Linked DNA regions of Saccharomyces cerevisiae S288C. The protein of the gene in region 3 interacts with the protein of the main gene of each other region in a biochemical or structural test. Each region holds a gene or a part of one and is shown on either strand. Other genes may lie near its edges.

Evidence for each region. Proteins that work in one complex are often made in the same cells at the same time.
Region 1: the proteins of SHE2 (region 3) and MYO4 form a complex in vitro, tested with the Saccharomyces cerevisiae proteins (3 studies listed by BioGRID, with this or other methods).
Region 2: the proteins of SHE2 (region 3) and PUF6 form a complex in vitro, tested with the Saccharomyces cerevisiae proteins (one study listed by BioGRID).

What each region holds. Positions count from the first base shown.
Region 1 is NC_001133.9:86,268-94,115, reverse strand, and holds MYO4 (myosin 4), read left to right. Parts: upstream 1-1,845; coding exon 1,846-6,261; downstream 6,262-7,848. Other genes in the region: FRT2 (Frt2p), read right to left, coding at 1-1,216; SNAP receptor SNC1, read right to left, coding at 6,364-6,615, 6,729-6,830; protein phosphatase regulator GIP4, read left to right, coding at 7,085-7,848. UniProt on the Saccharomyces cerevisiae protein: Part of the mRNA localization machinery that restricts accumulation of certain proteins to the bud and in the daughter cell. Recruited to specific mRNAs including the ASH1 mRNA, coding for a repressor of the HO endonuclease, via its interaction with SHE3.
Region 2 is NC_001136.10:1,439,846-1,445,329, reverse strand, and holds PUF6 (Puf6p), read left to right. Parts: upstream 1-1,926; coding exon 1,927-3,897; downstream 3,898-5,484. Other genes in the region: myo-inositol transporter ITR1, read left to right, coding at 1-1,617; CORVET complex subunit VPS3, read left to right, coding at 4,180-5,484. UniProt on the Saccharomyces cerevisiae protein: RNA-binding protein involved in post-transcriptional regulation. Component of the ASH1 mRNP which transports the ASH1 mRNA to the distal tip of the bud, where the ASH1 protein is translated and targeted to the daughter cell nucleus.
Region 3 is NC_001143.9:194,788-197,595, forward strand, and holds SHE2 (She2p), read right to left. Parts: upstream 1,242-2,808; coding exon 501-1,241; downstream 1-500. Other genes in the region: RMA1 (putative tetrahydrofolate synthase), read right to left, coding at 1-79; MYO3 (myosin 3), read right to left, coding at 1,562-2,808. UniProt on the Saccharomyces cerevisiae protein: RNA-binding protein that binds specific mRNAs including the ASH1 mRNA, coding for a repressor of the HO endonuclease. Part of the mRNA localization machinery that restricts accumulation of certain proteins to the bud and in the daughter cell.

The DNA of each region.
Region 1 (7,848 bases), on a different chromosome or scaffold from region 3:
TTAGCTCTTTAACGATCTTGTCAAAATTTGCAATGTTTTTAACAAGGTCATTTTCATCTTTCAGAACCTCATCTTTCAAACTGTGCTTTAGTAAAGCTTCTGTCTGCTGTAACTGCAATCCGATATGACGCTGATAGTAGTCTAATTCATCTGAATTTAGCGAAAGATTCGAACTACTATATGTGATATTTCCAGGAGGTTCAAGAGGATCAACAGCCACTGACTGTGAGAATGACGTCGATGATGAAGACGATGAAGAAGAAGACAACGAAGATGAGGACGACTGCGAAAACGATGCATTGCAGGCGTCTTTTGGCGAAAGCCCAATGGGATTAGCAACGGCAGGAGAGGATTCGGAAGCTACAGAGGGCGGTCTTGAGGGCGAAACATGTTTCTTTGGTGAGCTTTCAAGATCATGGTAAAGCAAGCTCTGTAACGATATATCTGTCTGCGTGCTAGAACTCCCGTCTGATGAATGCGAATGATGTGTGGGTCGCTTGGAAGGCTTAGATATAACATTGGGCAATATTGGATCGAAAGCCGGCGCCAGTGCAGACGAATCCTTAGATTGCCCAGACGAAGAAGGCTCCATGGATTTCAAAAACCGGTGAACCAACCTTTTCTTGTCCTTCACGAAGGACCGGGAAGGTGATTTAAGACCGTACTTGTCGTTGTCTTTGTAATGGCGATGGGCTGGGTGCTGCTGGGCTTGCAACATCTTAAATGAGGGAAAATGGTCTTTGGCAGAGTATCCACCATCGAGAGGCTTTGATTCTACACTATGCTGCGGGAATGGTCCTTTAAAGGTGGCGACTACGTTAAATGGGTGTTTTGGCGAGAGTCCAGAAGACTTCATCGTACTGAGACTTCGTACTTTATCTGGTGCTGCGTTGAACATACAATCGCTGAACATTGCGGTCGAGGCAGACGTGTAATCCGGAATAACTTGACGATGCAGTTTATGACGAGCATGATGGTGCTCCATTTCATATTTCTGCTCTTTTTCGTGTAATGCAGCCAAATTACTGTGAGAGGCTTGCCATCCAACGTTTGGCTTAGTTTCAACAGTAGATTTGTGGCCAACATCTGGTGTTCCAGCGTCAATCATTTGCTTTACATCTTCCAGGGGTCTCTTTTCTACACCATCTTTGCTATTGCGATCTGTACCATCTATTCCGCTGCCTTTAGAAGAGCTCTTTATTTGAGCATTTTGCATTGTACCTGGACAACTACTGGACTACGTAAAAAACTGCCATCAATTTGTGTTATTCTTACTCTTTGAGACAATGTTTCATAACAATAGAACAATAGCTTTTTGACCTTCCCCTTATTTTATTTCAAAAGGTAACAGTTAGGGCTATTCTTAAACTTTCTTTAGGGTACACAATGAAAACATCAAGATTGAGTTAAAACCCTTAAAATAAAACTAGGTCTTTAAGAAACTCACTCTCCGGGTTATCCATAGAATGTTTACCATTCTTTAGGGTTCTGAACTAATGCGAAAAAAAAAAAAGAAAAGACTGAAAAATTCGAAAATATCTCGAAGTTTAGCAGTAGTAGATGAGAATAGGGTCTCTTTTATCGAAAACCTGCAATTGTAATACAACCTTTTTTTGAAAGTCAGCCTTTATTCTGATTCTGCATACTCAATTCCTCAATTCCTACGGAGTTATCACCTTTTTTTTTACCTTCTCTTCTTTTCTTATTGTTCTAGCTGAAAACATTGTTACCAGTTTGGCGAGACAATTTATTTTCAATACGATACCCTTTTGTTCTTCTTTTTATAATTCAATCTAATTCTAAAACACAAAAAAACAAAAAAAATCCTATAACCAGTTCTCCCGCATGTCATTTGAAGTAGGAACTAAGTGTTGGTACCCTCACAAAGAACAAGGCTGGATAGGCGGCGAAGTCACCAAGAATGACTTCTTTGAAGGAACGTTCCACTTAGAGTTGAAATTGGAGGATGGAGAAACTGTATCCATTGAAACAAATAGCTTCGAAAATGATGATGATCATCCCACGCTACCTGTACTACGAAACCCACCTATTTTAGAGTCTACTGATGACTTAACCACCCTATCATATCTGAACGAACCGGCAGTGCTGCATGCCATAAAAAAAAGATACATGAATGGACAGATATATACTTACTCTGGTATTGTCCTTATTGCCGCTAATCCCTTTGATAAAGTCGACCATTTGTACTCTCGCGAGATGATACAGAATTATTCTAGTAAGCGTAAAGATGAGCTGGAGCCGCACCTTTTTGCCATAGCAGAGGAGGCGTACAGGTTCATGGTCCATGAAAAGGCTAACCAGACTGTTGTAGTCAGTGGTGAATCCGGTGCTGGTAAGACCGTCTCTGCTAAATACATTATGAGATACTTTGCCTCAGTCCAAGAAAGCAACAATCGTGAAGGGGAAGTGGAAATGTCTCAAATCGAGAGCCAAATTTTAGCTACTAACCCGATCATGGAAGCCTTTGGTAACGCCAAAACTACCAGAAATGATAATTCCTCTCGTTTCGGCAAATATCTGCAAATTTTATTTGATGAGAATACTACCATCAGGGGGTCCAAAATTAGAACCTATCTCTTGGAAAAATCCAGGTTAGTTTATCAGCCAGAGACAGAAAGAAATTACCATATTTTTTACCAAATTTTGGAAGGATTGCCAGAACCGGTAAAACAAGAACTGCATTTGTCATCTCCCAAGGACTACCATTATACTAACCAAGGTGGACAGCCGAACATAGCTGGTATAGATGAAGCTCGAGAATACAAGATAACCACTGATGCCCTGTCATTAGTAGGTATAAACCACGAGACTCAGCTTGGAATTTTCAAAATTCTTGCAGGCTTGCTACATATAGGTAATATCGAGATGAAAATGACTAGAAACGACGCATCACTATCATCGGAAGAGCAAAACCTGCAAATCGCATGTGAATTATTGGGTATTGATCCCTTCAATTTTGCAAAATGGATTGTCAAGAAACAAATCGTCACAAGGTCTGAAAAAATTGTCACTAATTTGAATTACAATCAAGCGCTAATTGCTAGGGACTCTGTGGCGAAATTTATTTATTCCACGCTTTTTGATTGGCTAGTAGACAACATTAACAAGACATTATACGATCCTGAGCTGGATCAACAAGATCATGTCTTTTCCTTTATTGGTATTTTAGATATCTACGGGTTTGAGCATTTTGAGAAAAACTCATTCGAACAATTCTGTATAAACTATGCGAATGAAAAATTACAACAAGAGTTCAACCAGCACGTTTTCAAATTGGAGCAAGAAGAATATGTAAAGGAGGAAATTGAGTGGTCTTTCATTGAGTTCAGCGACAACCAACCTTGCATAGACTTGATTGAGAATAAACTTGGAATACTTTCTCTATTAGATGAAGAAAGTAGATTACCATCAGGCTCAGATGAATCATGGGCCTCAAAACTATATTCTGCCTTTAATAAACCGCCCTCAAATGAAGTTTTTTCGAAGCCAAGATTCGGACAAACGAAGTTTATAGTAAGCCATTATGCTGTTGATGTAGAATATGAAGTTGAAGGGTTTATTGAAAAGAATAGAGACAGCGTTTCCCTAGGTCATCTGGATGTTTTCAAAGCAACGACAAATCCAATTTTCAAACAAATTTTAGACAACAGAGAACTTAGGAGTGACGATGCTCCTGAAGAGCAAAATACTGAAAAAAAGATAATGATCCCAGCAAGATTAAGTCAAAAGAAACCAACCCTGGGATCTATGTTCAAAAAATCGCTCGGGGAATTGATGGCCATCATAAATTCTACTAATGTTCATTATATTCGTTGCATAAAACCAAATTCTGAAAAAAAGCCATGGGAGTTCGATAATTTGATGGTCTTATCGCAATTAAGAGCTTGTGGTGTGCTGGAAACAATCAGGATTTCATGTGCAGGCTTTCCATCAAGATGGACTTTTGACGAATTCGTTCAAAGATATTTCCTCCTGACGGACTACAGCTTATGGAGTGGAATTCTTTATAATCCAGACCTCCCAAAAGAGGCAATCGTCAACTTCTGTCAATCTATTCTAGATGCTACTATCTCTGATTCAGCAAAATACCAAATTGGTAATACCAAAATTTTCTTTAAAGCAGGAATGCTTGCATTTTTGGAAAAGCTAAGGACTAATAAAATGAATGAAATATGCATCATAATACAGAAAAAGATAAGGGCAAGATACTATAGGCTTCAGTATTTGCAGACCATGGAATCAATAAAGAAGTGCCAAAGCCAAATTAGAAGTTTGTTGGTTCGTACAAGGGTCGATCATGAGCTCAAGACAAGAGCTGCCATATTACTACAAACGAACATTAGAGCATTATGGAAACGGGAATACTATAGAGCTGCCATTGGGCAAATAATAAAACTACAATGTACCTGTAAAAGAAAATTGATTTTAGATAGTGTTAACAGGAAATTCATGCTCATGGCGGCAGTAATTATCCAAAGCTACATCAGATCATATGGTCACAAAACAGATTACAGAACATTGAAAAGGAGCTCCATTCTTGTACAAAGCGCCATGAGAATGCAGTTAGCTAGACGAAGGTATATAGTTCTGCAAAAAGAAGTTGAAGAACGGAATATTAGGGCTAGTTACGGGATTGGATTACTGGAGGAAGCTATCGAATTTAAGAACTCTTTCATTTTGAATCTAGAGATGTTAAATGACTCATATACAAGATTAACACAGTTGTTGCAGGGAGATTTGTCAAATATTCCATCTAAGCAAAGGCAAGAGTACGAAACGATAGTAAATGGTTATAATGATAAGATTTCCAAGCTGAAGACGTTACAAGTTGAAATCATGAATACTTTAAACAAGAAGAATGCCTTGAAGGAGAGAAAAAAGAAGCAATCTTCTTTAATACAGTCACATATGCAAAGTTTGGCTGCTATAAAAGGTAACAAACCTTCAAGATTAAGTGATGAAGTCAAATCAATGAAGCAAGAACTAGCGTTTATTGAAAACGTAATAGCACAAGATTTCACCACCACATATTCTGCTAATAAGAATGATAAAGTGAAAGGTTTGGGAATCGCAGGACAACAAGTAAAACCGAAGCTAGTCAATGTAATTCGTAGAGAATCAGGAAATCCTGATCTTCTAGAATTACTAATGGACCTGAATTGTTACACATTAGAAGTCACAGAAGGTTACTTGAAAAAAGTAAATGTTACTGAGGTGAATGGAGACAATGTTCTGGGTCCTATACACGTCATTACTACAGTGGTAAGTAGCTTAGTGAGAAATGGGTTATTGATTCAAAGTAGCAAATTCATCTCGAAAGTCCTATTGACTGTAGAAAGCATTGTTATGAGTCTACCAAAGGACGAAACAATGCTTGGTGGTATCTTTTGGTTAAGTAATCTTTCCAGACTTCCCGCATTTGCTGCAAATCAAAAAACATTATATGAAGCGAATGGTGGTGATGAAAAAGATAAGTTAACACTGATATATTTGAATGATTTGGAGAATGAAACTTTAAAAGTATTCGACAAGATTTATTCCACTTGGTTAGTGAAATTCATGAAGCATGCTTCAGCCCACATCGAGATCTTCGATATGGTTTTAAACGAGAAGCTATTTAAAAATTCTGGTGATGAGAAGTTCGCTAAATTATTCACATTCTTAAATGAATTTGATGCTGTCTTGTGTAAATTTCAAGTTGTTGACTCAATGCATACAAAAATTTTTAACGACACCCTGAAGTATCTGAACGTAATGCTATTTAATGACCTAATAACCAAATGTCCCGCGTTAAATTGGAAGTATGGGTACGAAGTGGATAGAAATATCGAGCGGTTGGTGAGCTGGTTTGAACCAAGAATTGAAGACGTTCGTCCCAATTTGATTCAAATAATTCAGGCTGTCAAGATATTACAGTTGAAGATAAGCAACTTGAACGAGTTCAAGTTACTATTCGATTTCTGGTATGCCTTGAATCCAGCCCAAATACAAGCAATTCTGTTGAAATACAAGCCTGCTAACAAGGGCGAAGCTGGAGTACCGAACGAAATCTTGAATTATTTAGCTAACGTGATCAAAAGAGAAAATCTGTCTTTGCCAGGGAAGATGGAAATTATGCTTTCTGCCCAATTTGACTCTGCTAAAAACCATCTGCGTTATGACACTAGTGCAATAACACAGAACAGCAATACAGAGGGCTTAGCTACTGTCAGTAAAATTATAAAATTAGACAGAAAATAAGAACAAAGTAAATATACGCCCATATATGTATATATGTATATATACATATATCCTACACTACATATGGAAGCTCCCTATATATATAGCATTGCGAGTGAACTTCTATCGACTAAAGTGAACAGCAATGGGGACGATGATTACAACAAGCAATATGATGATTACTAAAGCCAGACACATCTTCATTTTTAGATCCTTGTACCACATGGCTTTTCTGACCCTATTGGCACCCCTCTTAAAGCCTTGGGCTGAGACCGCTAGGTTATCGGCTTTATCTTCAATGGACGTTAATCTTTCACCTCTTTCTGCTACTTTATTTATGTTATCTCTCATTATTCCCACGGTATCATCAATTTCCTAAAAATAAACACGAAGAACGTATATGAATGTATACGCATAAGTATCAACGATGTAGAAAGTTAGTATAATGTTAATTTCCTAGATGGTACTCTGTGGCTTTCTGTACTTACAGCTTGTAGTTCCGCAGTCCTTGACTTAGACTGTACATTCTGGGGTCGTTCTTCATCGTGCTCGGATAGAGCATAAGGGTCAAAGGGAGTAGATGACGACATGGACAATGAATACGTTGCGCTTGCTATGTCTTTGGCGCAAATTTTCAATGTTTAACTAATACTTTTGACGATCTTTCTTATAGATGCTGTGGGAAAGACCCTTAAAAATGTCTGTTACCCTGCAATCAATGGTTGAAACAGCAGGAAGACGCATAATAAAGGCATATGTTTGAAGTTTGTTAGCGAATGAACAATGATAAAAGGAGTGATTGGAAGCTGAAGGTTGAGGATTTAGACTAGTTTTATATTACAACATGGTAGATGTGCAAAAGAGAAAAAAGTTGCTAGCCAAAGCTGCTGCCAGCGCTTCTATTCCGGCAATCAAAGGTTCTGTTCCGTTGGACTCGTATGATATAAAAATCATTCAATATAAGAACGCTCTTTACAAGCTGAATGAACTGAATAGGCTACTAAACGTTCTGGTACCGCATTTGAAGAAGAAAAGAGACAATGACGAGTCCTACAAAATTATTCCCCTCGTTAATTTCATCTTATCACTTTGTGAGGGTCCTATATTTAATGTAAGCCCCGTATTGGCTAAGAGGTACCATTTGCTCTGTCGATTCCAGCTGATAAAGCTAAGCGAAGTGCAGCAGAGATTATCAACTAATTTTATTGATGTAGAGGGCTGGATGTTTCCCGAGGAGGTACCCCTAGATCACTATAAATCGTGCATATACAATAATTCTCTACAATGGAAGATTTTAAATTCGCTGTCTTGCATTGCTCAAAATGCTATAAAAATTTATAATGCCAAGTTGAGACAGATTTTATTGGAAAGGGATGCGTACAAAGCTCGGTCACTTCCATTTGACACTTCAATAATTGAAGACTTGTTAAATCCAGTTGAAATGACATTGATTCTAGATTTAGCCGTTTTGATTAATGATCCAGTAAGGGATAAGTCCACCCATTCCTTTTACAAATTGCAATGGCAAGTGATGGAGAAACTGAACTCCTGTGTTCATTCGAAAATCTTCCCCATTCTAAGGACATATTACAACCAATTGCAGAAATT
Region 2 (5,484 bases), on a different chromosome or scaffold from region 3:
CATGAAATACAGAGGGCTCCCGCTAGCGATGATGAAGATAGGATTCAAATTAAACCCGTGAACGACGAGGATGACACGTCGGTCATGATCACTTTTAACCAATCTCTTTCGCCCTTCATCATCACTCTGACTTTTGTCGCATCCATATCCGGTTTCATGTTTGGTTACGACACTGGTTATATATCCAGTGCGCTGATCTCGATCGGCACAGATCTGGACCACAAGGTACTTACTTATGGGGAGAAGGAAATTGTCACTGCGGCTACCTCTCTGGGAGCTTTGATTACCAGTATTTTCGCCGGTACTGCAGCTGACATATTTGGTAGGAAACGTTGTTTAATGGGTTCGAATCTGATGTTTGTCATTGGCGCAATCTTACAGGTCTCCGCACACACATTCTGGCAAATGGCTGTTGGTAGACTGATCATGGGTTTCGGTGTCGGTATCGGCTCCTTGATCGCGCCACTTTTCATCAGTGAAATTGCTCCCAAAATGATCAGAGGGAGACTAACTGTCATCAATTCCTTATGGTTGACTGGTGGTCAATTAGTCGCTTACGGTTGCGGTGCTGGGTTAAACTACGTCAACAATGGTTGGAGAATTCTTGTTGGATTGTCACTAATTCCCACTGCTGTGCAATTCACATGCCTGTGCTTTTTACCTGACACTCCAAGATACTACGTTATGAAGGGCGACTTGGCAAGGGCTACTGAGGTGTTGAAGAGAAGTTACACTGACACTTCGGAGGAAATCATTGAACGTAAGGTGGAAGAACTTGTTACTTTGAATCAATCTATTCCTGGTAAGAATGTCCCTGAAAAAGTCTGGAATACCATCAAAGAATTGCACACAGTACCATCTAATCTAAGGGCTTTGATCATTGGTTGTGGTTTACAAGCAATTCAACAGTTTACCGGTTGGAATTCGTTGATGTATTTCTCTGGTACCATCTTCGAAACTGTCGGTTTCAAAAATTCTTCCGCTGTTTCAATCATCGTGTCCGGTACCAATTTTATTTTCACTTTAGTTGCCTTTTTTTCCATTGACAAAATAGGCCGTAGAACCATATTATTGATTGGATTACCAGGCATGACCATGGCTTTAGTCGTGTGCTCTATTGCTTTCCATTTTCTAGGTATTAAGTTTGATGGCGCTGTCGCTGTGGTGGTTTCCTCCGGTTTCTCCTCTTGGGGTATTGTGATCATCGTATTTATTATCGTATTTGCTGCGTTCTACGCTCTTGGTATCGGTACTGTTCCATGGCAACAATCGGAACTATTCCCCCAAAACGTGAGAGGTATTGGGACTTCATATGCAACTGCTACAAACTGGGCTGGTTCACTGGTTATTGCATCCACATTTTTGACCATGTTACAGAATATCACTCCTGCAGGTACATTTGCCTTTTTCGCGGGATTGTCGTGCTTATCAACCATTTTCTGCTACTTCTGTTATCCAGAATTATCGGGATTGGAGTTAGAAGAGGTACAAACTATTTTGAAGGACGGGTTCAACATCAAAGCCTCGAAAGCTTTGGCCAAGAAGAGAAAACAGCAAGTTGCCAGAGTTCATGAATTGAAATATGAACCAACTCAAGAGATTATAGAGGATATATAGTCCTTTCACGAGGTAAAAGGAAGGAGACGCAATTGAATATTCAAATACATAGTAGAAAATAAATAAAAATAAATTACAAGATAGAAAAAAGTTCATTGTATTTAAGTCGAACTAATTGTTGTATGCATATATAGAAGATTAACTAACCCGGCATTGAAGACCTTTTTTTTTTTTCACCTTGAGAGAAATACTGAAAATTTTTTTTGCTGGGATGAGATGAGATGCCTACCTAAAGTATTTCGAAGGTGAAAGCGTTTTATTATAGAGTACTGAAATAAAGCACAATCAGGAATAACAAATTAACTGACAATGGCACCTTTAACCAAGAAGACAAACGGAAAACGTTCTGCTAAAGAAGTTAGTCATTCAGAAAAGAAATTAGCCAAAAAACCTAGAATTTCTATTGATTCGTCTGATGAAGAATCAGAACTATCCAAAAAGGAAGATGCTGTATCCTCTTCATCAGATGATGATGATTTGGATGATTTAAGTACCAGTGACTCTGAAGCAGAAGAAGAAGCTGACGAATTAGATATTTCCGATGACAGTGAGGAACATGAAAATGAGAATGAAGAGAAAGAAGGAAAGGACAAATCTGAAGGAGGTGAAAATGGAAATCACACTGAACAAAGAAAACTGCTAAAAGAAAGGAAAATGCAAAGAAAATCTGGTACCCAAGTGCAACAAATTAAATCCGTCTGGGAAAGATTGCGTGTGAAGACCCCACCTTTACCAAAACAGATTCGTGAAAAACTTTCCAACGAAATCTGGGAGCTATCTAAGGACTGTATCAGTGATCTTGTCTTAAAGCATGATGCTTCCCGTATTGTTCAAACTTTAGTCAAGTATTCGTCCAAAGATCGTCGTGAACAAATTGTCGATGCTTTAAAGGGAAAATTTTATGTTCTAGCCACATCTGCGTACGGTAAGTATCTATTGGTTAAGTTACTGCATTATGGTTCAAGAAGTTCAAGGCAAACTATAATAAATGAATTACACGGTTCTTTGAGAAAATTAATGAGACATCGTGAGGGTGCCTACGTTGTTGAAGATTTATTTGTTCTTTATGCCACACATGAACAAAGACAACAAATGATTAAAGAGTTTTGGGGCTCTGAATATGCTGTATTTAGAGAAACCCACAAAGATTTGACCATTGAGAAAGTTTGTGAAAGTAGCATTGAAAAAAGGAATATTATCGCCAGAAACTTGATTGGTACCATTACCGCATCAGTAGAAAAGGGTTCCACCGGCTTTCAAATTCTACATGCTGCTATGAGAGAATATGTGAAAATAGCCAACGAAAAGGAAATATCTGAAATGATCGAATTGCTTCATGAACAATTCGCTGAATTGGTGCATACTCCAGAAGGTTCAGACGTTGCTTGTACTTTGGTTGCTAGAGCTAACGCCAAGGAAAGAAAGTTAATTTTAAAGGCTTTGAAAAACCACGCCGAAAAATTGATCAAAAATGAGTACGGTAATATTGTCTTCATTACAATTCTGAACTGTGTTGACGATACAGTTTTAGTATTCAAGACTTTCAGTCCTACTGTTAAGGAACATTTGCAAGAATTCATAATTGATAAGTTTGGTAGAAGGCCTTGGTTATACATACTATTAGGTTTGGACGGTAAGTATTTCTCACCTATCGTCAAGAATGAATTATTGAGATACATTGAACTGTCCAAAGCCACCTCTAAGAAGGATCCTTTACAAAGAAGGCACGAACTTTTGTCAAAATTCGCCCCCATGTTTTTAAGCACTATATCAAAAGATTATTCCAGTATATTGACAGAGAATCTAGGCTGTCAGTTCATTGCCGAAGTTCTAATAAACGATGAGTTGTACGCGCAGCTGAATGAAAAAGACCAAGAAAAGTATCAACAGGTCTTAAACAACATTTTAACTACTTTTAAGGGTGACATAACCGAAGAAGAGCACCCAATACATAGAGCATTTTCTACTAGACTATTAAAGGCACTAATTCAAGGTGGTAAATGGAATAACAAAGAAAAAAAGGTCATACCATTAAAAAATGTTCAAGGCTTAGGCGTTCCATTTGCTGAAAAGTTATACGATGAAATTATTGACTCCTCCAACTTGTTAGAATGGATTAATAACGCTGATAGTTCATTTACAATTGTTGCACTGTATGAAACGTTAAAAGATCAAAAAGAAGGGAAACCATTTTTGAAGGATTTGAGAGGAGTTCAGAGTAAAATCACCACTGATGAAAGTAACAAAGGCTCTCAGCTTTTGGCTAAATTGTTAAAATAAATTTTCTACGATAAAGTCACAATATTTGGTATATAAGCATCTGTACAATAATAATAAAAAGCTTGATCTCATTGAAAGTGCAGGTATATATAATTGTCTCCTAAAAACTCCTTACATCGCATAATATCTGTTGAAGATACCGTTCCGATGGGAAAAAAAGGCAAGTTTAACTGGAAATATTCATATGTACTTACTATTTTATAACGACATTAGTGAATCAGAACTATCATAACAGTCAAGGAGACTACCTTTTTTTGGTTGCAACCATAATATTATAGAACCATGGTAAAAAAGAAAACGAATAATGACAAAGGAAAAGAAGTAAAGGAAAATGAAGGAAAGCTCGATATAGATAGCGAATCCTCACCTCACGAAAGAGAAAATGACAAAAAAAAAACAGAAGATGATAGTCTACGTGCAACAGAAAGTGAAGAGACGAATACACATAATGCTAACCCAAATGAAACAGTACGAGCTGATAAATTTTCCCAGGAAGAGAGTCGACCAATCGAAGACAGTCCACATACTGATAAAAACACAGCACAAGAAAGCTGTCAGCCTAGCAGCGCAGAAGATAATGTCATAAATACAGATATTACAAGCTTAAATGAAAAAACCTCCACGAATGATGAACAGGAAAAAGGGTTGCCACTGAAAATAAGCGAAGGTCCTTTTACAATCTCTACCCTATTAGACAATGTACCATCTGACTTGATATACACATGTTGTGAGGCGTATGAGAACCACATATTCTTGGGAACAACTACAGGTGATCTTTTACATTACTTTGAACTTGAACGTGGAAACTATATGCTTGTGTCGCAAACAAAGTTTGATGCAGAATCAAATTCGAAGATAGACAAAATCCTTCTTTTACCTAAAGTAGAAGGCGCACTAATATTATGTGATAACGAACTAGTTTTATTTATTCTCCCAGAATTTGCACCAAGGCCCAACACAACTAGACTTAAAGGTATTAGTGATGTCGTTATTTGTAATTTTTCCCGAAGCTCGAAGGCTTATAGAATATATGCATTTCACGCAGAAGGCGTAAGACTACTCAAAATATCTGCAGATTCATTAGTACTTACCAAAGCTTTTAATTTCAAACTAATAGATAAAGCTTGTGCGCACGAAGAAACATTAATGGTTTCGAAGTTAAATAGTTACGAACTTATAAATCTAAAGTCGTCACAGGTAATTCCATTATTTCGAATAAGTGAGACTGACGAAGACTTAGAACCTATAATAACCAGTTTCAATGAACAGAGTGAATTTTTAGTTTGTTCTGGAGGAGGATCATACGATAGTGGGGCGATGGCCTTAGTGGTAAATCATCATGGCGACATAATAAAAGGAACTATAGTGCTAAAAAATTATCCAAGAAATGTAATTGTTGAGTTTCCCTACATAATCGCTGAGTCTGCTTTCCAGTCGGTTGACATATATTCTGCCTTGCCGAGTGAAAAATCCCAGTTGTTGCAAAGTATAACTACTTCTGGATCGGATTTAAAAATTTCAAAATCTGACAATGTATTCACTAATACCAATAATTCTGAAGAATTCAAAGAAAAAATATTCAATAAG
Region 3 (2,808 bases):
AACTATCTTGGGGATTTCCCACGTGCTCCAACAAACGGTTTATTCGAGGTAAAGTTTGCCTTCCGCTTATATCATCCATCTGCTTCTTATGTAATCTGTTGCCGGCCAAACGAGCAATATTATTCTATATCAAAATCGTCAGGAAACTGGTCGACTTGACTCAAGTTTCATTAAGACAAGAATATAAATTTAAAAAATCATTATTGACCTAAATTGGGGTCCCTCCCACATCAGAGGAGGCTTCATTTTAGGCTATAGTTCCTCATATTTTTTTTCCTTGGCACACCTGCCATTCTCCTTTGCATACCTATTGTATCAAAAAGTGAGAAAAAAACAGCGCGGTTTGAGATGCTGAAAATGAGTACGCCAGAATAAGAGCCGATCATCAGTGTTTTGAAAGCTTACTTTCTGTGCTATGTGATGAGGCTATTCATGTATATATATATGTTCTATTAACTAGTGGTACTTATTTGCTCTTTTTGAGCTAAAAACTGAAGGCCTCAGTTTTTCAATTTACCAAATTTGTCATGCCATTTAGTAGCGACAACATCAAATTCTTCGTCCAAGGCGCTCAGCTTACCATCTAAAATGGAGTGCCACGCAGCTGACAAGGTCTGAAATTCTTCTTCGGAGTTGACAGGAAGAATCTCCTGCAAGAAGATATTATCAGTTTCTCCGATATTCGTTCCGTCCTCATCTGCGCATTTAATGGCAAATTGAACAACTTCTAAATCTAGCAGGTTGCTGCCTATACGCAAAGACTCAATCATCCATTGAGAAAATTTCACGAAATGATTGTAGGTATCGTCAATGGCTAATATGGACTCTGCTGTTAGCGTTAGGTCCTCGTTCAAAGTTTTAGATAAAATTTCCTTTTGTAATGACTGCGTTAGATAATAGTTCAGTAAGTCAAACGTTTCAACACATTTAACAAACATTGAAGCTATTGGTAAAATTACCTTGTCAAACGAATCCGCCTCTGGGTCTAATTCGTTTTTACCTTCATTGATAAACTCTGATGCATTATAGCTTAACACACAATCGTTGTAAAATCTCAATTTCTTAACAAATTTAATCAAAGTAGTTCTCTCGAATCGTAGCGTAGCTACCCTTCGCAAATGACTGATGAACTTGTTCAGCACGTGAATATAAGATGAGAGATACCGGGAGAGTAAGGCGAGTATTTGTTCAACTAATTCACAAGTTCCAGGAGTGACTTTGATATCTTTGTCTTTGCTCATTTTTAAGTGTCTGGTATTATGCAAAAGGAAAATTAAGGAGGGTTTACTGTGCTTTCTCTTTTTTTGAGAAAAATGTCTTGAGTAAAGTGAGGATTTTACTGTCAAATCTTTAAAGCTTGTTTTGAACGATGTCCTGCATTAAAGTGGGAGTTTTTCAAAACGGGAAAATACAAACAAAAAATGAAAAAAAAAAAAAAAAAGGGACTTTAACTTTCTGCGAGAGTATGTTTAAAAGTATATGTAATGCACTTTTGGTATGTTAAGAGGCATGCACGAAGAACCATTCTATAAGAGACTAAACATCTATATATTCATGTTAATTACCAGTCATCATCATCATCGCCATCGTCATTATCATCATCGTCAGCACTTTCCGCCCGCATTTTGTTTGCTCTTGCTGCCAATGCAGAAGCTAAACCGTCGCTAAACGTCCCCACCGGATTACTCTGATTATCACTAGTGGGTCCAACTGTTGCACTTCCAAACTGTACACCTTCTTGTGCACTTGAAATGGTATTGTCGATTTGGCTTGATTTCTGATTTGTAACGTCATTCACTGCCCCTGTCGCTGCAACAGGCACCGTATTTCTTGTGTCTTTATAAGGAGTCATATAAGCAGTAGGAACCCAACCTTCTTTGCTTCCATCGAGAAGCTTTGCTAAAGACCAACCACTAGGTTCATCTCTGCTTATAAATACAATATCGCCCTTTTTTAATGGCAACTCCGAAGATGATCCGGAACCTGGAAAGTCGTATGCAGCTTCGAATTTCGGATCCTTTGGTTGGCCCATGGGGGGAGGGGGTGGTGGTATTGGTATGTTTGCAGTTGCAGTTGCAGTTGTCTCCTTTAACGGTTCTTTATTTTTTTCAACCCCTTTTGAAGGTGGCATCGATACCTGGTTTTGCTTGGCGGATGAGGATTTGTGGCTTGAGGAGGCTTTCTTTACTGCGACTTTTTCCTTCGATGAGGGTTTTGAGCTGTGTTTCGAGCTTACTTTTGCAGCAGGGATTGCAGATGACTTTATTGGTACGGTCTTATCCGGTTTAGGATTGTATGCTGCCTGTGCAGCGGTAGCTGCCAAAGATAACGGATTCACAGGTTTTTGCGAAGGGAGAGGTTGCTTTTTTGCAGCATCCCTATGACTTCTATGGCTATGTGTATGCTTATGAGTAGATTTGTGTTTACTCTTTTTGCTTTTGATAGGTTTCCCGCTCAACCCACCTGGATTCTTAGGTTTTTTATTCGATTTGGAGTTAGCAGGGTGTCCACGACGCACGTATATTGTACTTGACTTGTAGATGTCACCGTATTTCGGTGCTGAATCGCTTATCTTTGAGCGGACAGTGTGCAACTTGTTTGGTTGTTTGTGATACTCAATCGTGGGACCAACTTTTATCATTATCTTTTCATTTAATTTTTTCAAACGTGTCATTAATTCCGTCTTGAAAGGCGTGTTAATGAGTGGATCGGATTGTGTACTATTAACAAGGATAACGCCCATCCAATCGTCTTGGAGGTTTGTTAAGCTCACTTGTTTAATTTTACCGACATCAATTTTATAATCTT